Xenopus tropicalis: one gene and its partners. The protein of the gene in region 1 interacts with the protein of each later gene in a pairwise test. Links are inferred from orthologs where the notes say so. Each region holds a gene or a part of one and is shown on either strand. Other genes may lie near its edges. The genes, in order: morn4, bend3, hmmr, exosc8, trim23, ssx2ip and ranbp3.

Region 1 (3,500 bases):
GTGTTGTCTGAAGACTCCATGACCATAGCCATCCAATATTGGCGTTAAGCTTTGCGTACAGAAATTTCTCAGGATTTGTTGAATCTCTTGATAATATTATGTATGTAGATGATGAAATTCACAAATTCTTTGCAATATACTATTCTTAAACTGTTGCAATATTTGGCCATCCCCATCTTTACTTCTGAGAGACCCAGCCTCTCTGGTAAGCTTTTATTTAGTACTATACAACTGTATGTGTTATTGGCATCAAATTCAAAATGACATGTATTTTCCAGAAAACAATAAGATATCTCAGTTTCAACATTTGATGTTGACTTTGTACTCTTTGTAATTAAATATGGGGGTTTAAAAGATTTGCAGATCATTTCAATCACTTTTTTGAAAATGGGATTGTATCACATTTGTCTAAGATGAAAAAGTTATGCAACAAAAAATACACTTTTATCTAAAAAAAATAGCTGTAAATTTCACTTTTAAAGTTCTGAAAGTTCTGCAATTATTTGACATGAAAATATCACATATTTAATAGCTGAGATAAGTGAAAATAAAATTATTTTGTACATAAACTGACATTTTCACCATTTCCCTCTTCAGATATCAGACCCTTAAGTGCTGGTGTATGTCTGGATTTGCTGAGAAAGCTTTTTATGTCTATGAGAAATGCAAAGATCAAAAGCTACTGTTATATTTAAGCAAGAACTACGCCATTTTCCATGGTAATTATGTCACCAGAGGGCACTGTGATATTAGAGCCTTAAATATGTATTTTCCTACACTGGCTTCACATCATACAAATAAACAGAAGAATGCAGATGGATAGGATTGGCCAAAGATTTCTACTTACCATAACCTTCAACCCGACCCCCTTTAAATTCTCCCTCAAATTTCATGTTATCGTAGCGGGTGAAAACACCAGTGCCTTGAAATTTTCCTTGAACAAACTCCCCTTCGTACCTGAAAAGTGTACACATAAATATGTCAGTTCTAGAGTCTGAAACATAGAGCTGTAAGAATTACAACTTTTGCTACAAAAGCAGGAAGAAGATCGTTCCATGGTGATTGCTCAGAAGTACTTGGGGCCTGTGCAGTTTTCTGCTAACAGAAATGACAACCCCGGGGTATCATGTAAGGGTTATAATTACTTGGATGGTGCCTAACATTTGGCACCCCCACAGTGATTTAACCCTTCCGCCCTTTTATTTTCTTGCCCATTATATCATATACAGTCATGGCCAAAATTGTTGGCACCCCAGAAGTTTTTCCAGAAAATCAAGTATTTCTCACAGAAAAGTATTGCAGTAACACATGTTTTGCTATACACATGTTTATTCCCTTTGTGTGTATTGGAACAGAACAAAAAAGGGAGGAAAAAAAAAGCAAATTGAACATAATGTTACACAAAACTCCAAAAATGGGCCGGACAAAATTATTTGGCACCCTTTCAAAATTGTGGATAAATAAGATTGTTTCAAACATATGATGCTCCTTTAAAAATCACACCTGAAAGCAGATAAAAAGGAGAAAAGTTCACTTAGTCTTTGCATTGTGTGTCTGTGTGCGCCACACTAAGGGGCTGATTTACTAACCCACGAACGGGTCAAAATGAGTCCGATTGCGTTTTTTTCGTAAAGATCGGTATTTTGCGATTTTTTCGTATTTTTTGCGATTTTTTCGGCGTCTTTACGAATTTTTCGTTACCAATACGATTTTTGCGTAAAAACGCGAGTTTTTCGTAGCCATTACGAAAGTTGCGTAAAATCTTGCGATTTTTCGTAGCGTTAAAACTTGCGCGAAACTTCGCACCTTTTAAGTTTTAACGCTACGAAAAAGGCGCAACTTTTCGTGAAAAAAAAAGAAGTTTGCAACCCATGGCACTGTAGCTAATCTTCCTGGGCGTGGACAGAAGAGAAAAATTGATGAAAGGTTGCAACGCAGGATAGTCCGGATGGTGGATAAGCAGCCCCAAACAAGTTTCAAAGAAATTCAAGCTGTCCTGCAGGCTCAGGGGGCATCAGTGTCAGCGCAAACTATCCATCGACATTTAAATGAAATGAAATGCTATGGCAGGAGACCCAAGAGGACCCCACTGCTGACACAGAGACATAACAAAGCAAGACTACAGTTAGCCAAAATGTACTTGAGTAAGCCACAATCCTTCTGGGAAAACGTCTTATGGACAGATGAGACCAAGATAGAGCTATTTGGTAAAGAACATTCTACTGTTTACCGAAAACAGAATGAGGCCTACAAAGAAAAGAACACAGTACCTACAGTGAAATATGGTGGAGGTTCAATTATGTTTTGGGGCTGTTTTTCTGCCTCTGGCACTGGGTGCCTTGAATGTGTGCAAGGCATCATGAAATCCGAGGATTACCAAAGGATTTTGGGTCGCACTGTAGAGCCCAGTGTCAGAAATCTGGGTTTGCATCCGAGATCTTGGGTCTTCCAGCAGGACAATGACTCCAAACATACGTCAAAAAGCACCCAGAAATGGATGGCAACAAAGTGCTGGAGAGTTCTGAAGTGGCCAGCAATGAGTCCAGATCTAAATCCCATTGAACATCTGTGGAGAGATCTTAAATAAGAGAGACCTGGAGCAGTTTGCAAAGGAAGAGTGGTTGAAAATTCCTGGTGAGAGGTGTAAGAAGCTTATTGTTGGTTATAGGAAGCAACTGATTTCAGTTATTTTTTCCAACGGGTGTGCAACCAAATACTAAGTTAAGGGTGCCAATAATTTTGTCCAGCCCATTTTTGGAGTTTTGTGTAACATTATGTCCAATTTGCTTTTTTTCCTCCCTTTTTTTTTCTGTTCCAATACACACAAAAGAGAATAAATATGTGTATAGCAAAACATGTGTTACTGCAATACTTTTCTGTGAGAAATACTTGATTTTCTGGAAAAACTTCTGGGGTGCCAACAATTTGGGCCATGACTGTATACACCTTGGCTTAAGCAATTTTTAAGAGTTCTTTCTGTGTCAATAAGAACAAGTACCTTAAAGCTTGTATGTTTGTACTGGACATAACTACAGCAATGGGAACTAATATTGCTATTTTAGCTTGCTGACAGATGGATTTTCTTGCTTTGCTAACAATGAGTCACTTGTTTTAGCTGTCACTGAGGGAGACCATTCATTTTTCCTCTATATTTATCAGACAGAAATGACTACTTTTAGTTCATCTTGAGTTACAGAGAGAGGGACATTGGGTCTCATAACACCGGGCATGTGTGGGATAGGCTTTGTAAACACAGGTAACTACCAAACTACAATGACAATAAAGTGTAACTATTAGTCACTACAAGAGCTTCAGTGTCCCATGGTACTGATCATTCAATTATCCTGTCTAATGGAGTAAAGTAACTGCTGTCATCTATAATGAGAGCATTAGCTTTAAAGGGGAAGTTCACCTTTACATGAACTTTTAGTGTGTACATTAACCTATTCTTGTCACCTTCTATTCTGACCTTCATTAATTTGTTTGTATTTTTAAAATAT
Region 2 (4,038 bases), on another chromosome or scaffold:
TACACCAGCAGTGAATCCACTAAAGCTGTCCATACACACACCAATAATATTGTACAAAACCTTGTTTTGTGCTATATTCGGTGCGTGTATAACGGCTCGACGAGGCGACCAATATCACAAAAGGCTGCGGATATTGGTCGACTTGTCGATCGGCCGGGTTATAAGATTTTGAATGTGGCGCCCAAACAAAATCTACGTTCAGGGCTGAATCGGCAGAAGGAGGTAGAATTCCTATTGTTTCTATCTCCATATCTGAAGATTCAGCCCTAAATGTCAGTGGAGGGTGGGAACGATCTTTCAAAATTGCTACATGTATGGCCACCTTAAGTCTCACATTAGCTTTAGGTCAGTCTGTGTAAAGGTCCCCGTACACGGGCCGACTATAGCTGCTGATATCGGTCCCTTGGACCGATTCGGCAGCTAATCGGCCCATGTATGGGCAGAACAGAGCGGCCTGGCCGACCGATATCTGGCCTGAAATCGGGCAGATCTCGATCGGCCAGGTTAGAAAATCCGGTCGGATCGGGGACCGCATTGACTCACTGATGCGGTCCGCGAACCGACTGCCCCATAAGCTCAAATGTAATCCGATCGTTTGGCCCCAGGGCCAAACGAATGGATTATTTTTTTTTTAAGTTACTTGCTACCCGATATTGCCCACCCGTAGGTGGGGATATCGGGTGAAGATCCGCTCGCTTGGCGACATCGCCAAGCAAGCGGATCTTATAGTGTATGGGCACCTTAAGACCCATCTTTAGCCTCCCCAAACAAAAAAGTCACCCTCCTATATCCAGGCTGAAGTTGTTGGGCAACCCTAGTCACTCGCTTCCTATCTTGATGCTGAATGAGGCCATCTTTTTCTGGCTGCCCACTTTCCAGTCAGCAAGAGCAGTGAGTGAATATTTGGCGATCTTGCTAGAGATAATGGCGTGGCGGGGACTAGCCACAGTGACTGACTGAAATGGCTGTGGAAGTGTGAATAATAGCAGCAGCATTTCGGCCAACAAAGCTTAGGAAAGCAGCTCCACAGCAGCTGGAGGATAACTGTAGCTGAAGAGAAAGTTTGTGAGAGTGCAGGTAGCGGCACAGCAGGGTCCGTACCGGGAGCCCAGGGGAGCCGGTGTCCTTGCTCAGTGGAGAGAGGGCAGGGGGGCTGTTCCCACTGCAGCCTGTGTCTCCCTGTGTCCTTCTGCGGAAATGACACACACGGAGTCCCGTCACGTCACGCGAGAGCGCACGGACACGCAGCACACAAAGACACACAGGCTCTTCGTGGGGGAGAGGGGAAAACACGGCCCGGTGCTGAAGATGAAGCCGGCAGCGGAGGGATATTAGTTGCGTGGCCGCCGCGCCGCTTGGAAACTTTGTTGCAGCTGTAGTGGGGCTCCGGCATTGGGATCCCGACTTTCTCTCGGGTAAGTTCCCTCCCTCGGTGCCTGCGCGCTCCCGGCTACCCATTCTACACTCGCCTCTCAAACCCTCCGCATTCCCACGGCTTGCTTTGTCTCTTTAAGGGCTACTGGGCAAAGTATCTAGCCGACTAAGCAGTGTAACGCGATTGGTAGGTAGGGCAACTGCTTGGTTTCAAGGTCCTGCTCATCTAATCTGTGGGACCTTCACAAACTAGCAGAACAGCTTTCCACTTCCCACTTCCCCACTTCCCTGGCAGCCTCAGTGGGCCTTTAGAAGTAAGAAAGTGTGGGCATGACTTTCATTCAGCCTCCCAGTGTAGTGGGACAGCTAAGCCCTAGTTCTGTGCTATGGCCTGGGACAAGTGCCTGGATATTATTATGCTTTAATATATTTTGCAGGGGTTCCTTATTCACATCAGTTGCTTTTCCAGTATAGCTTACAGTTAGGAACACACCAAAGCAATTCATTCAGAATTCAGTGAAATCCTTGCACTTTTTGCTGGGCTTTGAAGTGGACAAAAAGCATCAGTCTGAACTAAATCAGAACACTTAGAAGCCCATTTATCAACAGTCTGATTTTCACAGTTTTGGAGGTTTTTGAAACCATGAATAAAGTAATTTCCACTAATGTTCAGTCACTTACATTACATTACATTAACATTTATTTATAAAGCGCCAACATATTCCGCAGCGCTGTACAATAAGTGGGTTACATACATTGGACATACAGAGTAACATATAAAGCAATCAATAACCGATACAAGAGGTGAAGAGAGCCCTGCCCAAAAGAGCTTAAAAGATCCAACTGAAAAAGTTCAAACTATATAAAATACAGAATGAAAACAAAATGAACATACAAACGACAAGTTGTTCCACAAATGTTTGTGACTTATAAACCAAAAAAAAAACCTCTAAAGACACAAATTAAAGATTTACAGTTTGCCCAGGACAACTCCCGTTGACTTTTAAATGACCTCGGCAGCTTTTAGATGGCAAAGTTTTGTAGTAAGTGGTCTTTGTGGTTTTTACACTTAACAATTCACAAAAAAAATTGTTGTTTTTTTTTTACACAAAAAAACACTAATCATGAAAAAAATAAAATATGAACGTTAATAAATGCCCCCCCTTAAGTCATATGCTTGTTTGCAGTCAATGTAATTTAAACATTTTCTTTGCAAATTTGGAAATGCAATTCTGATTCTGATTTGGTATTCGTCCAAATCTTTTGTGGATGATTTGGTATTTGGGCCAAATCCAAAAACGATGGATCAGAACATTCATACCTACAGTCTAAAGTCCAAACCTTGCACCCACAGAGTAAAAAGTCTCTTTTACCAGGAGCCGCTGCCAACAGTATGTTATTGGGGTGCGGGAGAAACTATACAGATACCTTTTTTATCTATTCTATGGTGAAACCACACTTTCATTATTTCTGATATTTTTAGCCTTTGCATAACACTAGCATAGTCAGTAGTAAACTGCCCCATGTTACATTGTCCTATCTTTTCTACCCTAGACAGACACACACTTGCTCTCACACACTATGGTCTGTATAATCAACACCCAACTAAGCCTATCTGTATGTTTGCTGTTTGTGGGCAGAAAGTAGAGTACCCAAAAGGAACCAGTACATGGGAAAAGCTTCCAAACTCTGTCAGGGTCAGAATAACGAAACATAGGACACTAGCACTGAAAGGCATCAGTTTTCTTTTTGTCTTGGGGGGCTAAGAACCTTTGCTGAAAGTGTCCCTGTGCAAAGGCATATTATACACTTCTGTGAAGTTCTTTACTTTATTAAGTTTTTAACTGGTGTAATATGATTGGTGTAAAATTGCTGAAGCTTACATTTATAGTTAAAGGAGAAGTAAAGGTACAATCACTGGGGGGTGCCAAAATGTTAGGCGCCCCTCAATGATTGTAATTGCTTACTTGATACCCCAGGCTGGTGCTCCTGTTAGGAGAAAACCGCACTAGCTGCGAACGAGCGATCCTCTTCCTTCTCTCATCTATCTTCTGAATCCCGGGGCTGGCACATGTGCAGTAGAGTGAAAAAGCTGAGTGTTTTGTTAAAGTTCAGCTTTTCACTCTACTGCTCATGCGCAGGCGGTGCAAAGACTGCAAAAAGAAAGATGATTGCTCTATTTCAGCTACCCCTTGCTGGTGCTGTTTTCTTCTAACAGAAGCACCAGCCTTGGGAATAAGGTAAGCGATTGCAATCGCTGGGGGGGTGCCTAACATTTTGGCACCCCCCAGTGATTGTACCTTTCCTGTTCCTTTAAGGGAGATGTGCTGGAGCCACTAGTGCTTCTCTCCACTGTGTGTCAGAAATGGTATTTTAAGTCCATGTCTCAAGCAATTTTGTAGTTGAAAGGGCTTTATACAAACTTTAACAAAGTCCATGACGTTATGACAGTTTTCATTTGGCTTGGAAATTACAAAGGATTTAGGTCAAGGGCAGGCTTGATTATCATGGGGTTGGTTTTACCTAACATGATGATCATACATTGAGATAGCACAGCCATTAAACAGGAGGCAACTTGTACCTTGATTATTTTAGCAACACATGGAAAAAGATGGTTCTGTGGAAGCTTGGGACAGAATCTGGCCTGTTGGTGTACAAATATAT
Region 3 (4,217 bases), on another chromosome or scaffold:
CAGTAGGATAGTGGGATAAAGATGGCATAGTCAGAATGCATCAGAATAAAATACAAGTTAGTCCTCATTACATAGCATGCCAGATAAGACTTTAGTCTCACTTTTAGAGGTTGTAGTGGATTTAAAACAAACATATTTTAAAACTCATGAACATGAAACACTTACAGTAGACCCAAGAGAATGTTTTCGTAGACGAACTGGAGATAATTCCTCTTCTTTATCCATGAGTTGGCTTTCATTGCTGGAATCTAGAAAGATCACATTTTAGAAAAAAAAAAAAAAGTTGCAGAATAGCATATTGTGGGGGGTTTCTTGGTTGATTTTAGTTTAAAAAGTGATAATTAATAGAAGTTGTCCCATTATTGACATGCCAAGTCACAAATTGTGTTTTTTTTTTTGTTGACATCTATTTTTGGGCTAAGATCTCCCGATGACAGGCAGATGCCTAGCTGGTCAGTGGTTCTTGAATATAGTATGGATGGCAGTGGTGGGGGTTTCTCCATGTAACAATAGTCTCATTTGTACTGGATCAAAAACCACATATTACTTTCTGAAATCAAATGTTTACTGTAAAACTTTTTGGTTCATGTATTTGAATAGGACATTTCCCTTTAAAAGAAATTGTTATTCAAAAAGAAATTGTTAAATCGGGAGCAGATCACAGCTGTAGGAGCTCTAGCGCATGCAAAGAATATAAGAACCCACTGCATAAGGTCTGTGCTGCTTAGCCATAGTTTATACAACCCCCATGAAGAAACACATGGCAAAGGTTAACAAGGGTGGGGCTTGTATGGTGCTTAGACTGCAGACTAGTAAACTTACAGGTACTGTACTGCTGCTTGCTTTAAGTCAAGAGGTTTACAGCAACATCACCCAAAAACATTATGTAAAATAAAAATAAATTGTGCATTAGTAGTATAGGGCTGATTTGCAGGCTCTGCAAAAAGAAACGGCATAGCTTTTCCTCCTTAGAAAGTTGATATCGTATCTCTTTAATACTCAAGAAAAGTGTCTAAAATATGCACAAACCTTTTTTAGGACGAAATCTCTGGGATTTATCAAAAGATACAGGTCCTTTGAGGCCCTCGTAATTCTTCACATCATAAGATCCAGGCGCAGGGGCACATCCTTCAAATATATAGAATAATAATAGGTAAATAGAAAACATATGAGACATACATAGTAAAACAAGGGCACAGACTTTTAGCAGACCTAAATGCTTCATTACCCAATCTATCTTTAGTACAACAACAGAGGGAAGGCAAACTACATAAACTGGATCACTATATCAAACAGTTTTAACAAAAAAACTTCAAACAAATTGCATGTAGTTGCAGCATACTGAATACTGGGCTACTAAACCAGCACCTGGTTGACTACACTAAAAAAGAGCATGAACACCTAGATAAAAAGGAGCCATTTACAGAGACAATATGTCTGTCAGGGCTGGGAATTACTGGGCTATAGCAGCCCGTGCAACTTGTCAGCGCAGTTTGACAAATATGACAGTGGATCTAATGCCAAGCACAAAAACAGCTATAGCAAAATGGGTAAAGCTTTATTGCTTTTGGCAAGGATACACATTCAAAGTTGACTTCATATTGATTGATATAAACTGGTTTATGAGAAAGGTCAGTGCAGTAAGTGGAAAACCACTGTGAGCAATGGTATTACAAGTATTTAAGGAATGTGCAAAAAAAAAAAAAAAATTGCAGCTGGAAATAAATTTGACGGTTGAAGCAGCAGCAGTGTATTTTGAAAAATACCTTCTTCTGACTTCCTTCATGCCAGCCATGAGGTAGCCAAACAAGCAATTTTTCTAATAAACAGGTACAAACGACTGATATACCAATTAAACTAAACAAAAGTAATGCTGTATAACAGCAAAATGCTGCTATAGACAATATAAACCTAACCAGGAGCACTATGCAAGATAATGTAAGGTAACATTGAGCATTAGCTATAATGGTATATAGGAGAAATTGAAACAGTGACCGTTAATAATTGGGATATGACTATTATATACTCGGCTACATTACTTTGGAGAAATATTTTTGCATGAGAGGGTTTCAGTGAACGTACATATTTGTATTTTGAATGATTTTGTGAGTACTTTAATTCTCTTATCTTGCTTTCTTTTAAGAACCTGGCACCCCCACTTATAGGTATACACCTGCATCTGCGGTCTTTATTTTAAAATCATATATTATAAGCAAATGCCCATATCTGTAAAGCCTAAACCCAGTATAATTTAAGATAATTCTGACCCTGCAAGCTTCACAGAAGGAAAATTCTAATGGTTTAGGTTCCAAGCACCCCTTTACTTTCCAATATTTGTCTGGGGTTCCTAAAGCAAAGGAAAGCTGCATATAGATGAAAACAGTCCCTATAGAACCTCAAGGGTTAGTTGCTATGGGTTACTGCTCCTGGGCAAAGTTAGCGCCCTTTATTACATAAGCCCATAGGTCTCCATGGTTTAAGTATCTAATGGTCTAAAAATAATTGCAGTCAGACTAAATGTACATGAATATCGCGTATTGAAGCGAACGGAACTTACATGAGTCACAGAACACTCCTGCGAAACAACCTTGCCAAATACACGCTTAGATTGAAACTTACCAATATTCTCATTAAATCTCTTCAGAGGAGCCTTGGGAAAAGACATTTTGGCTGAAGCCAGCGCCCGACCACCTTCCCTACTGCTCAGAGCCGAAATCACTGACAGCTACGCAACAATGCACGAAATAACAAATTCCTTCTTTTCGCTGCTTTAAAATTCAGTCACTGCTTTATCATCAAATAAGGAACGAGCTCCCGACAAGCTCCAGGCGAAGCAGCCAATCAGAATACAGCTTTCGGGACCACCCAATAAAACTAGGCCGTGGCGCGCTAAAAGGATTGTGGGAGTTGTTCTACGCATGCTCATTTTACCCCTTAGCGACATTTTTAATTCTGGCAAACCGATGCATTGCTCATGAATGCGGCGGCCATATTTGGTTCTGGTATGAGGCATAGGCTGCCAAGCGCTTCAGTTTCAGGCAATGTCTGCTCACTTCGATGAGAGGAGTGGGGTGGTCCCCTGTCAAACACCATGGGGTTGCTGGTATCAGACCATGGAAGAGGTGTTCATTGAAGTCAAAGTACCCGATGGGACCCTTGCCAAAGAAGTCCAGTGCAAATTGGGAAGTCGGGATATTTCACTGGTTGTGAAGGGAAAGGACATACTTAAGGTGCTAGAAGTATTTTTTTACAGTCCCATTGTCTTAAGTGCAGTAGGTTTTGATGCCATGTATGTGCAAAAATTATTAAAAAAAACCCAGTAACTTTTATGTATCATACCCTGATATATGATATACAGGCTTAGTATTTACTAATATATTTGTACTGCATTTGTATATTTTTTCTGGCCCTCTACTCTTCATCTTGTATTTTGATTGCTAAAGTACTCCATGATTGTGCATAACTAAAAAGTGAAGACTTTTTTAGGCACCATTCTAAAATCTAATATAATGGTGAACAGCCTATTTAAATATTAAAGGGAATATAATCTAAGTAAAAAAAAAAAACTAAAACTGACAGTAACCCCATTACAGAACAAATCACACCTTTCAAATTTATAAATAGAAATTTGACATCATTTTCGCACAAAAGCCCACACACTAGACCAGGGGAGGCCAAAACGTTGATCGCGTTCCACCGGTCGATACCCCATGGATTCCTAGTGGACCACGTCGAAGCCGCGAAATGCGGAAGTGCGGGGTTTATTGGGTATGCGCGTACGTATGCGGGGAGGAGTCAAGTCAATCACCACAGGAAAAAGTCTGGGCACCCCTGCACTAGACTAATAGAAACTTTGTTCTTAATGTTTAGTCCTACACCAGTTAATGCTGCAGCAGTGGCAGCGTACAATGTGAAGGGTGGGCAGGAGGGTCACACCAAATGACTAGATCTGGGTTTGTAGTGATCTCTTAGATTCAGAGTATACAGCACACCTTGTTACACTATACCAGTGCTGTCCAAGTTTTTCCTTGCATAGGGCAGAGTACTATAAAGGGTTGTGGAATTCTTGGGCATGTAGGGGGCAATAAAACATAATGTCTTGGAGGGCTATATCCAGTCCATGGGGCACCAATGAGACAGCCCTGCACAATGCAGATAGTAAAGTAAGCAAATCAACAGGCAGGTAATTGTTTCGTGGCCTAGTTCCTTTGGGCTGA
Region 4 (3,500 bases), on another chromosome or scaffold:
TGTGGCGAGTTCAAGCTTCGCTGTTTGATCATTTTGCCTCATGTTTTTTTCCCTATCCACTCCCACCAGAATGGCCTGGTCTAGGAAAGGACACTTTTGATTTCACTTTAGGATGTGCCCTTACATTAATGTGCAATATTTAGCACCACAACATATGTAGCTTGTAGTAAATACACAGTTCACCACATTAAAGGAGAACTAACTTTTATCTAAAGGAGGAAGGGAGAAACATTGTATATTATATTTTGTATGAGCCAAAGACAGCCACAGCCCTTTAGCAGGGAAGATCTGTGCCCCCAGTAGCCCCCATCTTCTTTTCTGCTGATTCCCAGCACATGCTCTGTGCTGCTGTCACTTACCTGAGCTTAGGGACCCACTCACACTATACTGTATATATAGAATATAAACTGCGGCTGAACTATAAAGGAAGCAGACCTCAAGGGGGACATGACCACAGGGTTTGCTTTGTCTGTAGCCTAGAGATCCCACCCCCAGCCACTCATTTAAATATTTATGCAGGACCACAAGAGCATGCCGGGCCCCCGCCCCCCCACATTTTTTTTCTTTTGAGAAGGGGGGCCACTGCTGAATATAAGTATAACAATATAAGACTGATTAGTATACAATAAAAATTATTAGTATGTCATCTCAGAAACTAGTGCAATTACCATCAGCTTATATTACAGACAAACCTCATTTTCTGCTTGATAATTTAGCTGCTCAGAGCACACTGAGCATGTGCAGTGTCACTGACACTTCTAACAAAATCAAAGATGTAGGAGCTTCTGTGCATAACTTTAAAGGGATCATTATAGAGATGCTGAACCTTTAGGCTGGTGCAATAAGTTCAATACATATAATTTGGCATTTCTAGCTATATTCATTTTTATGGTTTAGTTCTACTTTAAAGGTAAACTAAAGCTTAACATAGAAGTAGGGTAAAAATGTTGTACATTATGTTTGGGGGTTTGTACCAGCCCAAGGCAACCCCAGCCCTTTAGCAGGGAAGATCTGTGTCTCATAAAATGCCATTTTTTTTTCTGCTGATACACTGAACATGTAACTTCCTTATAATTTAATAATCAGCCCTGTAGCACCAGGTTATATGACAGACAAACCTTATAATTTGCAACAACCGCTAACTGGAAAAGTTCAATAGGGAGGTTTTGGACAGCCAGACCTAGATAATGGAATGGATTGCATAAGCAATGCAAAAACGTCAAACTGAGCCAGTCTGCTCTGGGGGTATATTTGGTATTAACATGAATCTCAGACATAATAATAAACAAGTGATTCCCACTGAGGTTTAGTGGCAACAGGACTTGCAACAGCTGTACAGCACTTCATTCTTACCCTGTACCCTCAAAGACTGTTTCACTGAACAATGACTTACCATTCTGTAAAGCAGCAACCAAAGCACACATGCAAGTATCAAGAAGGTTTCCATCGTAATCGAGACATATGAGATCACAGTACAGAACCCATGCTAGCTAGAGAGGGGAAAGAACAAAAATAAGTCAAAGGGGAACTATACATTTAATATTAAAGTATAACCAATAGCTCATTTATAGTCCACTAGGTCACCTTTCAAAAAATTAAACTAAATTGGCATATACATATCAGTATATAATGCCCTTTATAAATTTTACCTTACATGTAAACCCTACATTTTCCTACCATGTATATAAGTTGGACACAACTCCCCCACCCACACCGCATCATTTGTATTACATATATCCCTCTGTTTGCCAGCACCATCAATTTTCCTAAAACAAATAGCAGCTTTCACCCAGCTGCAATTTTCCCTCTGGCAAATCATCAGTGACATTTATATCTGTAAACAGCATGTGTGCTGCAAAGTTCATAAAATCAAAAATGCAGGCTTACACAGGCAGAACTTAAAAAACAATTCTGCGTGTTTCTCCAGCAGAATGTACAGCTAGAGCAGAGTTTCTATGGAAACTGGTGAGTGCAGGGCCCCCGCTGGCCACATCTCCTGCCACGCACCCTAACCCCCCCCCCCCCCCCGCCGCAGGGGCCCCTAACGTCCTCCCCTGAGCATGCCTAAGTGAAATGCGTCAGTGGTTTTTTCCCGGTGTCCCGGCTGCCCAGTCCAACCCTGATTAAGATTAGGACTGTACCAAATCCACAATTTCTGGATTTCGACAAATACCGCATTCTCCAAACAAGAATCAGCTGAATACCAAACCAAATCCATCTAATTTGCCTATGCGTATTTAAGAAAAATAACAACAGTGCATTAATTGTGACTTTCTCTAAGTGTTTCGGAACAGCTGAACACCTAGAATTTGGCTGAATCCAAATCCTGCATCCTGATTTGGGGCATCCATTCCCATACAGATATGTAATAATGCAATGGCCGTTTGCCCCTGCAAGCATCACCAAAATACATTCAATAACTATTAAAAACCAAACGCCTGTTTGTATCACTTGATCCATACCTTGCCATGTGCGATGCACAAGTCTTCTTTCAGGAGCATCTGGGAACTGAACACATGTTAAAGATTACATGGACAATTGTTTCATCTCTTGTTTTTCCTGTTTCAGTATTGCTTGTATTAATAATGAAAACCAGCTACAACAGGCAATATACACTCAATACTCTTGTTTGGTGGGTCACCAAATGAACAAATCTTTGGCCAATTGGCCACCCAAGTGGTAAATAAAAAGAGGGGTGATCTAGCCATGTGGCCCTTGCAGAGCCTTTTTCCACAGGTTTTCTCTGGTGCCTGTGATTCATGTCGGAGACTTTCCTTATTGATATATCTACCATAAGTCACGAATAAGTCAGGCTACAACCTGACGTGGGAAAAGTTTATATCTTCAGTAAGACTAATTATGACACATCCTATAATACTGATACTGACAAATTTCAATTATACAATTGAGTTAGTAAAATAAGAACCCCCAACAAAAGCAATTGTGGGCTCTTATACCCCTATACCCTCATTGTTTAGGTTTAGATCCATAGGTCACACTGGGCTGGGGGCAGCCCAATTATCTGACAGAGTACAATTTAAATCTGTACCCCACCCAGTTGGGGCACTGTGCTGCCCTTAGCCCAGTATGACTGAGGATGACAGTCTGCACAGAAGATGCCAAAGTGGTTATTGCAGGGCTGGGGGTTACTAATGGTTTTTTATATTATTATTTAGTGACACAGGAACATGATCATCACTTTGTTCACAAACAACCATCATCTTACTTGTCAATAACATCTGCTATGAACTGACTGGCAACTTGAGCCTCTTCCCCTGGGGGACCAGGCCGAAACTGAGAGGAGCACAAGGGTGTAAGATCCACATTTGGAACTGGAAATGGAAAAAAGAGATATCTCTGTCAGCACAAAAGAAAAATTCCCTTAAAAGATAACTATAAGCTGCAGAATAACTGTGCTTAATACAGGACAATACTTATACTGGTATAGCTCTATGACATCTCTGTAAAGGCTGCCACAAACTTCCCTATCACCCCCAGTC
Region 5 (2,976 bases), on another chromosome or scaffold:
GATTAGTGTTTGCTGCATTCACTGTTCATCTTCCTGTACATTATTCCAAACCTATAGGGATGAGTAAGATCATTTAAAGCGGTTGTTTGCCTTTGAGTAAACTTTTAATATGATGTATGAGAGTAATATTCTGAGGCAATTTGCAATTGGTCACATTTTTCATTTCTTGTAGTTTATGAATATTCTAGATTTTCGTTCAGCAGCTCTCCAGAATTTCCACAGTTATCTGGTTGCTAGGGTTCAAATTACCTTAACAAATAGGGAGTGGTTTGAATGAAAGAGTAATATATTTGTAGGAGAGGACCTAAACAGAAAGGTAAGTAATACAAAGTAAAAACAGCAATGATAAAATTCTAGCCCCAAAGAGCAATAGTTTTTTTTCAAAGTTGGAAAGAGTTAGAGAAATAAGGCAAAGAAGGCACATCATTGAAAAACTATTGAAATAATGAATAATGAAGACCAATTTAAAAGTTGCTTAGAATTGACTGTTCTATAACTAAAGGTTAACTTAAAGGTGAACTGCCCCTTTAATACATTTGGGGCAGTGCACATCAGTGGCAAATGTAGTGGAACACGTTTATGGGTATGAGGCCTAGTTTCCATTGTAAGTTACGGTTGCCTTAGTTATATTTAATTTTTTTATGTATTGACAAAGGCACATGTACTGATACAGGCTCTGCCATCTAGTATCCCTGAATCAGTGAAGGCAAAACCAAACTGGATCATTATGGCTGGTTTTAGGGTTAACACAGCAGGGCTGACACAGCAGGAATAGGGAATAATTATAAGTGGGTAACTATTTGTGGCATGTACATCAGGGATGTCTGAACATTGTTGTTAAAGGCCAGTTTTGTCACGCATGGCTGGTAAAGGAGTAGTTCTCAAACGGAGGGGCTTCAGATTAGTCCTCTTTTTACACATTGAGGCACCGGTATTGCCCTGAGGATCCCTTTACTCTTCCCCTGAGTAGCATTTCCATGTAGGCATACATATAAATAACCCTGTATTTAGTTCTTGAGATTTAAAGGAGAAGGAAAGGTAAAAACTAAGTAAGCTTTATCAGAAAGGTCTATGTAAATACAGCCATAAGCACTCGCAGAAAAGCTGCATTGAGACCTTTATAAAAAAAAAAACAGGATTTATTTTCTTCTTTCATGTACATATTTTCTTCGGGTATCAGACTTCATTTGCTTAAAATAATCCTTCAGGGCACGGCCTGAGTCTGCTCAGTTTGCTCCTCTCTCTCCCTCCCTTCTCCTCCTCCACCTCCCAACTTTCCTCTCTACCCCTCCCAACTGTGCTGTGTAATCTGCACTACCAACAGCTAGAGCTGCAGCACGGAAGTTGCTGAGACCAAGCTAAAATGGCAGCTGCTATCTTGAACAAATAGAGAAAGCTTCTAGGGCTGTTTATTTAGGTATGGTAAAGCTTTCTGCAGAATAAATATAGCGTTCTAGCTAGCACTTTTGTGGCTAATCTATTGGCAATAAAAGGACAAAATGCCTTCCCTTCTCCTTTTAAGCCTGTGTTTGTTCATAAGATCATGACTCTCCAATCCTCATGCTCTCTGTCTGTGTCCCCTGTGCAGCCGTGGTGTTTGTAATCGATAGCAGTCACCGGGAGAGAGTCACTGAAGCACACAGTGAACTTTCAAAGCTGCTTACTGAGAAGGAACTGCGAGATGCTCTGCTGCTAATATTTGCCAATAAACAGGTAACTAAATGAGATGGAAAAAGTAAAAGTAACATTAGCAGGCCACAGCCTTCAAGCGGTTACACTCCCAGCATAAAAGTTACATAAAAGTCAGTGGCGGACAGGGCTGCATCGATTCCTCAATTTCTCCAAGTGATTTGCTTATGAGCCCAACACCAAAATTAAGGCTCATTTACTCTTCTACCAGAGCATGCTTGGCACTCCTTAATCCTGCCGTGCAATGTGCTTAACCAATCAAAGAGCAGTTTTACAATATTGCTATAAATCAGGCTAAGGATAAATAAAAACCACACAATTTTTAATATAGTATAGTTTTAAATGTATTCTTCTGCATGCAGGGTGTGCATTAGCATTTTGTGATTTGCACATTAAATGAACTGTTCTGTCTGATTCTCTACACAGGATGTAACAGGTGCCCTCTCAGTGGAAGAAATGACTGAGCTCCTGAGTCTTCACAAACTGTGCTGTGGCCGCAGCTGGTACATCCAGGGCTGTGATGCCAGGAGTGGTATGGGGCTCTATGATGGTCTTGACTGGCTCTCAAGGCAACTGGTGGCAGCCGGTGTGCTTGATGTTGCCTAACTGAAGCCAGGGGCAAGTAATCTATGTGTGAGCAGCTGTTGCTAACACTACAGTGGCCTGTCTGAGAATAGCCTAAAACATGTCTAACCAGCCCGTGGCGCTGTGATTGTTGGCCTGCTGGGAGCCCCACAGGTTGGTTAAGGCTAGTTTGAAAACATAACTGTATTGACAGCTAGAAAACATATCTCTTTACGTCACTTTACTATAGCTAGTGCAAAAACTCCCCGGAATTAGTAGTTTTTGTGATGCCTGACTGTGAAGGTTGGAAATACAACTAATTAGCTAGGTAAGAAATTGTTGCTCTTATTTAATATGTTTAACAGTCTAATGTTTACACTACAGTAACAGTATTAAACAAAACGACACATTAAAGCCTTTCCCACCATAGCCGTGGAATTGTTACATCTTAGGTTACATTTAACCCACTAACCACCGCTGCAGCGCAGCTTGGCAATGAATGGGTTAAAGGTGGCCCATGACCAGTCCAAATAAGCTGCGTGTGTGTGCAGGACATTTCCATCCATGCCTCCAGCTGTATTAGTATGTGTTTAAGAGGCAGTTTCAGTGTAAGTGGTGTAGCAGTGAATTAACGTTAGCTTGTGGCTTAAGCAATCGGGAGCGTAGCTTACGAGGTGCATTAAAACCATAAACAGTAGTTGAGCGGCTTTATTTTCTTTTTGC
Region 6 (4,128 bases), on another chromosome or scaffold:
GGTAAAGAGTCCTTTCTACACCAAAGTACCAATCTGCAGAGCTTTCCTAAAGTTATTGGTTTTTATGACATTTCAGAAAATTGCCTAAAAATGTTGCAATTTGTCACATTTATCTCACACAATTTCTTGCGTACAAAGGCAAATCACCCCCAATAGGAACACCAGAGGCCTACTGAACAGTTTGATGCCCAATATGCATAGATATACCAAAGTCTGCGGTATGTACTGAACCCTAAATGAAAATAGCGCATAAGGATTTCTCGCCTGCCAGCTCAGCTTTTGCACACAGAGCCCCGTCAGTGTATTATGTGCAGTAACCCCCCCCTAACTATACAGTGACCCCCAGAAAACCATATATTTTTGGAAAGTACACATTCTGATGAATTCAAAATAGGTAAAGTTATTTTTGTACACCAAAGTTACACCTGGCAAAGCTACGCTAAAAACAGATCAGGAACACTTATATAGGGATAAAATGTGATAAAACCACAAAAATTGTGCAAATCAGTGAAACAACAAAATAAGTTACATGACAGTGTAATTAGTGGCCAGAATATCTGATCCAATAGTTACGCTGTCAAAATAAACAGTTTTTAGGTAAAAGAAAATAAAAACAAAGTGGTAATATGAAAAAAAAAAAAAAAAAAAAGCAAAACAAAAAAAAAACCAAAGTGTTTGTGTATACATGTGTGTACATGTGTAAAAGTTGTGTGATAGTGTGTAAGTGTGTATATGAGTGTAAATAAGTGTATAAAAGTGTGAAAAATGAAAAAAAATAAATAAAATAAAATAAAAAAATGCTAAAATGTGTGCTGTAAGTGTGTGTAAATGTATGTAAGTGTGTATAAATGTATGTAAATGTGTGTATAAGTGTGTAAAAGTGTGTAAATGCAATAAAAAAAAAAAGTCCTTACCTGTTCCTGAAGACCGATCGCCTCCTTCGTCATTTGGGCCGGCGCTGGGGGAGAGGGAGGAAGCAGGAAGCAGCAGATGCGATGCGATCGCATCTGCTGCTTCCTGGAGGGTCCTGCGAGCGATCGGTTCGCAGGACCCTGATGACAGCCCCCCTGGCACATTGCCCAGGGGGGCTGTCATTGTTAGAAGCCCTCTGCAGCGGCGGCACATGCCGCCGCTGCAGAGGGCAGCGCTTAAACGCCAACGACGTATGAGACACGTCGTTGGCGTTTAAGCCCTTTTACTGCCAGCACGTATGCCATACGTGCTTGGCAGTAAAAGAGTTAATAGGTTTTACGTAGACATGACATTAAATAACACTGCTGTGTTTACTATTTCAGTATCCGATGTTCAAAAGTTAAATCTAAAAGTAAAAAGGTTTTTACCTTTGTTTTTTTTTTTTTATTATTTTCTGCTAAATATCTTTATTAGCTAGTCTTTTAAAGTGCCCAAGTGCTGTCTAGCTCTCTGTATATAGTGCATATAATAAGGACTATCTGGATCAAATTCTGGTACACAGAAAGAGGTTGTCTAATTAGGGAGCTGATATTTTTATTGCAACATGGAGTACGTTATATTCATACTTTATCATGCATGCAGCACACAATGCATAACTTACATCACCATGCACCACAGCTTATAAAAAACGGGTTTCTGCTCAACTGAGTAAACGGCCCACAAACACTAACCTGCATATGGGTTAAAAGTGGTTGTTCACCTTTAAATAACTTTTAGTATGTTACAGAATGCCCTATTCTTAGCAGCCTTGCATTTGGTCTTTATTATTCATTTGTTATAGTTAAATATCTACCTTTTGCCCGTACATATTTCCGGCTTTGAAATGGGTGTCACTGACCCCAGGGGCCAAAAACTTTTGCTCTGTGAGGCAACAATTGTATTGTTATTGTTACTGTTTATTCCTTATCTTTATATTTAGTCCCTCTCCTATTCATATTCCAGTCTCTCATTCTAACCACTGCCTGGTTACAAAAGGTAAACAAGACCCTAGCAACCAGACTGCTGCTAAAATATCAAAAAAGGAAAGCTGCTGAAAAAGTGAAATAACTGAAAAAACACACAAGAAAGAATAAGTGAAAAGCAATTGCAAATTGTCTCAGAATACTATTAGTGAGAATGTGGACCCTTTAAGAAAGCAACAGAACATGAACTTTGAAAGCACTCCTTCTGTACTATATTAAATATCCTTCTGATCCCCATATATTTATTGCGAGACGAAATCAGATGATATTTATACACAGAGCCCAAGTTTACTGGAGTGCAAGTTTTGTATAGGGTACCACGCCCGCAGGCAACGTTTAAATGAATGGGCAATCGCCTAGCAGTTGGGAAAAACCAATGCGAACGTTCCCAGCAGCAAGTGACCCCCCTCCCCCGCCCCCATGGCGCAGGGAGTTGGAAGAATTACAGGCAAGCTGCTCTCGCTATTGCTAAGTCATTTACAAAGTCGATCTTTTGCCAACAATACAAAAAAAAAAATAATAAAGCATAAATAGGTACATAGCTTTCAGGCTAATAGAATACACGTAAATAAAACTAAAACTAAATGTTAAGGGAAAAAAAAGAAAGAAACCTCCACAGCAGGTGCAACCTTTTTGTTCAGATTTAACATATATTTGGGTATATCAGTAAATATACCATGAACCCCCTTTCAACAAACATAGCATACCGCCAAAAAGTCCAGCTTTTCCCGGGTCAGTCCCGCTTTTCTCAAAACAGCCCACAATCCTGTATCGCGGTTTAAAAGTCCCGCAGCGCTGTTAGCGTCTAGCTCCTTGACTCCTTCTGGACAGCGAACCCAGACATCGGAAATCTCATCTCGCGAGAGTGTGACTACAGGTATATAAGTACGGTGACGCTTTGCGTAGCCTCCTAGGGGCAGTGACGAGCTGTGGGTATGGGATTTGGTGCAGCACAAGGTGATGGACCTAGTGAGCAGTCTATCCTGGGCAGAGCAGTCTGTGGGATTCGCTCAGCATTTTCTTTGTATCTGTTTGCAGATTCTACCTTTGTCAGGGGATGTTTTATGTCAGCTGATGTCAGAAGCTCAGCTCTTAAGACAGTGATTGTTTTTACTACTGATTAACTTATACCTCTGCCATTGATCTTTTATTTCTAGGTGGGTGCAGGCAATAGCTGCATAGAAACTACGGTCTCCGCTCCTTATAGTAGTATACAAAAAGAGGTTGTGGGAGCACTCCAAGGCTAAATAAAGTATACAAATACAATGGAAGTGCAACTGATCTGGCCAAATTAACTACAAACATACAAAAAAATACTGTATGCACTAGCATGAAACTAACAGACAATTTACTTATGAAACGGGACCAGGGAATGTGCATTGATCAATCCTTTTTTTTTTTTGTATCCTTATAGTAGTATTTTTTTTTTTTTTTTTTTTAATTCTGCTCAAACTTTTCACCTATGCCAGGAAAAAGAGAAAAACTTGGTTATTGACTAAAGCCATGAATTTGTGAAAGTGCTACGTGTTGCTAATAGCATTTAATTCTGTTATTCACCTGGAAATTAACTTGCTAAGATGTTGAGAATGCTAATCTAAAGCAATTTGCAATTGGTATCATTTTTTTTATATGCAGTTTTTAAATTATTTAGGGTTTTTGTGAGGCGTCACTCCAGTTTGGAGTTTAGGCAGCTATCTGGTTGCTAGAGGTGCCAGAGAGGCATGAATAGAGGAGGGCCAGTTTGAAAGAAGAAGAAGGCAAGTAATAACTGCTTCTTTAAAGGAGAAGGAAGGGCAAAACCTATAAAGGATACCCTTCAATAGTCCTACTACTGTTAATTAAAAACGCTTTACTTTTGGCTCTATTAATGCAAGAATAACAGTTTTACTTACAGCAAACGTTAGCATTGCTTTAGTGAAAGGCACCGCCATCTTTGAAATGGGATGCCCACTTCCTTTCCTTCACCGCCCTATACTGTGCATGCGCATCATTCAATCCCCCCTGAGCGCTGTTCGGATAGCAACGCTATGTGCTCATAGTGGGAGTGTCAGAGAGTCCGTGGGAAGAGGAGCGCTCCTGCTTGTGCACGCTCACAGAAGATATGAAAGCGCATGCGCTTACTAAAGAGCTGGTCTTAATCTTGGTGCAGGAGCATTATGGGAATGGGATGGGAATCTTGGGAATCTTCTTTACC
Region 7 (3,500 bases), on another chromosome or scaffold:
GAAGTAAATGGTGGCCTTCTGCCATAATGGTACTTACAAGAACCAACTGTGGCTATATTAAAAGCATAATTCTATAAAAGCCTATAGAATAGGATAACCAAGGTAAATTAGACACCTGTCAAGATCTCTTTTTGAGACCATGGTTAATAAGAAGTTGGTCCTCTCCCTTTGCTATTGCTAGGAAAACTTTTCACTAGATCAGTACTGTCTAACTTTTCATACAGTGTCAGGTTATTTACTATATTACATGTTTGTATGACATTATGATTTATAATCAGGCCCCAAATAGATCAGGGTCTTAAGGGTACTTGGGACCAAAAAAAATATCTGCACTGATTACTGATAGAAATGGCTTCAATTAAGCCACAAGGGTTTTTTTCAGGGTAGTCATTTTACAAACTCTGCAGGGAAATTGTAATACTGAAACAAGAAAGCAGCTTCCCACAAACTAAGCAGCATTAAATTGCAAAATTGTCACTATACACTTTTTTTCAATTAAACCAGGGACCATAGCCCAAACCATTAATATTCCTTCAAACTTTAGAATTGTGTTGCATATTCAATCAGCTAGGGTTCAAACTGCCAAATGGCAAAGCTATTTATCACATTTCCAATGCTCCAGTGTCTACAACCTCCATTTTTTATTCCACCAAGCCTAGAAAATAACTCAGTGCTCTGCAGGCAAATGAATTAACACAACATTAAGTGCAAATATATTCCTAAGAAATGTTTGAGTGAACAATGACAAAAAGACAAAACAAAAAGCAAATATATACAATTAAAGTGTTTCTCTCTCAGCCTTACCAGAACTCGCTCAATCATATTCTGTCCAAATACAAACTTGTTGCTGGCTGCTTCAGATTTGTGCGTAGAGTTCTCTAGACTGCAAAGAAAAAAGCCCCAGTTAAACCTAAGAGCAACATGGCGCTAACAAGAATAAAAATATGTACAGACCAGGTTCTAGAGGGCTGTAATTTACAAGGCAATTGAAGAAAACAGCCGGCACAACAGGTCTTTGAGCAGCAGGATTATCCCTAGGGTTTTTTTTTTTTTTTTTAAATTTGTGATGTTTCGGGGGCAGGCCCCTTCATCACATGTCTGATGAAGGGGTCCGTCCCCAAAACATAAATTTGAAATAAAGATGCATGTTTTAAACTCTGTGTTTGAAATTCAGTGTGTATGTGAGGTGAGAGGATATGAAACAGAGTAAAAGGTGGCCATACATAAGATCCGCTCGTTTGGTGCAGCCACCACACAAGCAGATCTTCTCCCGATATGCCCACCTAAGGGCCAAACGATCAAAATACAACATTGGACACGGGCGGCATCGGACCAAGGACTGCATCAACAAGTCGATGCAGCAAATGGATTCTAAGGTGTCATGTATGTTAGTATATATAGTGCACATAGCAGTATCCATTTCTTTGCATTATGTTAAAATTATAGCATGCAAAATTTCCGGAACTTTAGACAAAGTTCCATTTAGATAAACCACAAGCAGTTCTTGATTTGGGTAAGTTTTCACATGTCACAGGAACAGTTACACTTAGTGAATTTGGTAGCTGGGTTACACTGCAGTATTAGAAACTCTTTACAGACAGATGATCAGCAAACACAACTAAGTTTCTGACAAATATAAATAGGTTCAACTATTTTAATACTGAAGAAACATAAGGTGGCCATACTTGAACTGATAAAAGCTGCTGACTCAATTACAGACTGAACTGGCAAAGTACTGGCCCATGTATGGGTCCCAATTCACCAAAATATCCATCAGGGAGATTTTATAAATAAATAAAAAAAATCTGCTAGATATGAAACTGCATTGGTGTGTTAATGTAGTCCTCTCCAATAAGACTCCCATGGACACCAATATAATTTATTCATCAGCCTAGCTCAAACGATTACATCCTCCCATTTAGGTCCAATGCATCGGTAGGCAAGTCAAGTAAAGATCCACCTCACTGAACAAGTAAAGGATACCTCACCTTGAGCTGATGTACTGTAGAAAGTAATTGGTCTGTGCTGGGGCATCCACACCTTGGGACCCCACTTTCTCATCATCAGGTGAATCTTTACTTTGCACTCCAAGCTGAAAACAGTTAACAACAAGGTGGTCATTCTAACAAAGTGTCCATTAAATAAGATAATATTTACATCTTTTGGCACATAATATAACTTTAGATATTGCATTACTGCATTTTGCAAACAACTATTTGTGAAAAGTTATTCAATGTAGGAAAAATAAATGAGATTGTAATCCCTTTCCTCTTTACTGAATGGAGTAATTTACACAAAAGCCAAAAATAAAGATATCTTTGGTCCAAGATTTATACACACACATTTATTTATAGAGAGGTTATATAACACAGGGCTATCCAACCAAAAGTCAGTGGGCCAGATGTGCCCTTCAAGAATTTTCTAAGGCCCCATTCTGCCCAAGAGCAACCAGACTTCTTACATAACCTACTTTAATTATAATCTGCATGCAAAATGTGAAATTTCAACCTACCCACTGCATGGTAGAAGCACCGATCCCCCAATCAACCACAAATAGCCTGCAAAATGTGGTGGTAGCACTGCTCCCTGCAGTTATTCTCTATGACAATACTAGTTTTCATGTGGCTTAAAGCATACTCAAACCCACCCCTATAAAAAGCTACAGCAGTGGAGATCAGCAAGACACCAAAGGTTTGGTACAAAAAAAAAAAAAAAAAAAAAAAAAAAAAAACCTAGCCGGCAGATTGCAACTTATAAAATATATTGGGTTTTTCATTGTTTAAAAAGTCCCACAAGTTCTTAACTTATCATTTGTTTGTCAAGATCTCATTCATTCTTTCAGCGGGACCATCATACCTGACTGGTATGGAATACAAGGTATCACTTGTGATATATATTACATATCTTTCTATCCACCTACCTCTTGAAACATCCAACCAATTTTATCATAAAATGTTGAGCTTTAATATCCATGATCCAAAAATAAATAAATCTGAAGCAAAAGTTTAAAAATTACACCGAAGGTCATAACACATAATATGACTTACTTTTACCCTGTCACGCACGTTCTGCCCAAAGACGAAGGACTGTTGTGTCTTCTGCTCACCCTGTTCTGAGTCTTCACTGGAGTCTTTTACAATACAAGACTCTGTCTGTGCATTGCTGTCCTGAAGTAAAAAAAAAAAAGTCTATGTATAAAAAGTGTGATATTTCTTTTATGCATGAACCTTTTACAATATATAGGATAGTTCTTTGATCTTCTTCAAAGTTCTCATTAACTGGTTAGAGGAAATGTTTAAACCCACACGTTTAATGTACTACTGAACATGCTCTAAAAATATTGCTTTAGAGAACACACTTTAAGAGCAATCTCATGGTATCCAGAACTGACACAGATCCTTATATGTTATACAGCACCACAACTTGAAACAAATGAATCCATCTGTCGACCTTCATAATGGTGTCCAGTTTTGAGTCCAATGGTTGCTGACCCGAATAGG

The links.
Region 2: the proteins of morn4 (region 1) and bend3 interact in binary tests that used the Homo sapiens proteins (3 or more experiments, as listed by UniProt). The two-hybrid records come from large-scale screens. The link is inferred for Xenopus tropicalis from reciprocal best matches to the Homo sapiens genes MORN4 and BEND3.
Region 3: the proteins of morn4 (region 1) and hmmr interact in binary tests that used the Homo sapiens proteins (3 or more experiments, as listed by UniProt). The two-hybrid records come from large-scale screens. The link is inferred for Xenopus tropicalis from reciprocal best matches to the Homo sapiens genes MORN4 and HMMR.
Region 4: the proteins of morn4 (region 1) and exosc8 interact in binary tests that used the Homo sapiens proteins (3 or more experiments, as listed by UniProt). The two-hybrid records come from large-scale screens. The link is inferred for Xenopus tropicalis from reciprocal best matches to the Homo sapiens genes MORN4 and EXOSC8.
Region 5: the proteins of morn4 (region 1) and trim23 interact in binary tests that used the Homo sapiens proteins (3 or more experiments, as listed by UniProt). The two-hybrid records come from large-scale screens. The link is inferred for Xenopus tropicalis from reciprocal best matches to the Homo sapiens genes MORN4 and TRIM23.
Region 6: the proteins of morn4 (region 1) and ssx2ip interact in binary tests that used the Homo sapiens proteins (3 or more experiments, as listed by UniProt). The two-hybrid records come from large-scale screens. The link is inferred for Xenopus tropicalis from reciprocal best matches to the Homo sapiens genes MORN4 and SSX2IP.
Region 7: the proteins of morn4 (region 1) and ranbp3 interact in a two-hybrid assay, tested with the Homo sapiens proteins (2 studies listed by BioGRID). The two-hybrid records come from large-scale screens. The link is inferred for Xenopus tropicalis from reciprocal best matches to the Homo sapiens genes MORN4 and RANBP3.

What each region holds. Positions count from the first base shown.
Region 1 is NC_030683.2:33,184,897-33,188,396, forward strand, and holds part of morn4 (MORN repeat-containing protein 4), read right to left. Parts: intron 958-3,500; coding exon 848-957; intron 1-847. UniProt on the Homo sapiens protein: Plays a role in promoting axonal degeneration following neuronal injury by toxic insult or trauma.
Region 2 is NC_030681.2:79,023,987-79,028,024, forward strand, and holds the start of bend3 (BEN domain-containing protein 3), read left to right. Parts: upstream 1-1,238; 5' UTR 1,239-1,415; intron 1,416-4,038. UniProt on the Homo sapiens protein: Transcriptional repressor which associates with the NoRC (nucleolar remodeling complex) complex and plays a key role in repressing rDNA transcription.
Region 3 is NC_030679.2:25,070,368-25,074,584, reverse strand, and holds the start of hmmr (hyaluronan mediated motility receptor), read right to left. Parts: upstream 2,801-4,217; 5' UTR 2,666-2,800; coding exon 2,620-2,665; intron 1,129-2,619; coding exon 1,030-1,128; intron 249-1,029; coding exon 166-248; intron 1-165. UniProt on the Homo sapiens protein: Receptor for hyaluronic acid (HA). Involved in cell motility. When hyaluronan binds to HMMR, the phosphorylation of a number of proteins, including PTK2/FAK1 occurs.
Region 4 is NC_030678.2:151,678,664-151,682,163, forward strand, and holds part of exosc8 (exosome complex component RRP43), read right to left. Parts: intron 3,333-3,500; coding exon 3,227-3,332; intron 2,509-3,226; coding exon 2,463-2,508; intron 1,491-2,462; coding exon 1,394-1,490; intron 1-1,393. UniProt on the Homo sapiens protein: Non-catalytic component of the RNA exosome complex which has 3'->5' exoribonuclease activity and participates in a multitude of cellular RNA processing and degradation events.
Region 5 is NC_030677.2:187,798,319-187,801,294, forward strand, and holds part of trim23 (E3 ubiquitin-protein ligase TRIM23), read left to right. Parts: intron 1-1,588; coding exon 1,589-1,713; intron 1,714-2,115; coding exon 2,116-2,295; 3' UTR 2,296-2,976.
Region 6 is NC_030680.2:77,489,901-77,494,028, reverse strand, and holds the start of ssx2ip (afadin- and alpha-actinin-binding protein), read right to left. Parts: upstream 2,801-4,128; 5' UTR 2,642-2,800; intron 1-2,641. UniProt on the Homo sapiens protein: Belongs to an adhesion system, which plays a role in the organization of homotypic, interneuronal and heterotypic cell-cell adherens junctions (AJs).
Region 7 is NC_030677.2:101,763,115-101,766,614, forward strand, and holds part of ranbp3 (ran-binding protein 3), read right to left. Parts: intron 3,168-3,500; coding exon 3,048-3,167; intron 2,093-3,047; coding exon 1,989-2,092; intron 884-1,988; coding exon 805-883; intron 1-804. UniProt on the Homo sapiens protein: Acts as a cofactor for XPO1/CRM1-mediated nuclear export, perhaps as export complex scaffolding protein. Bound to XPO1/CRM1, stabilizes the XPO1/CRM1-cargo interaction. In the absence of Ran-bound GTP prevents binding of XPO1/CRM1 to the nuclear pore complex.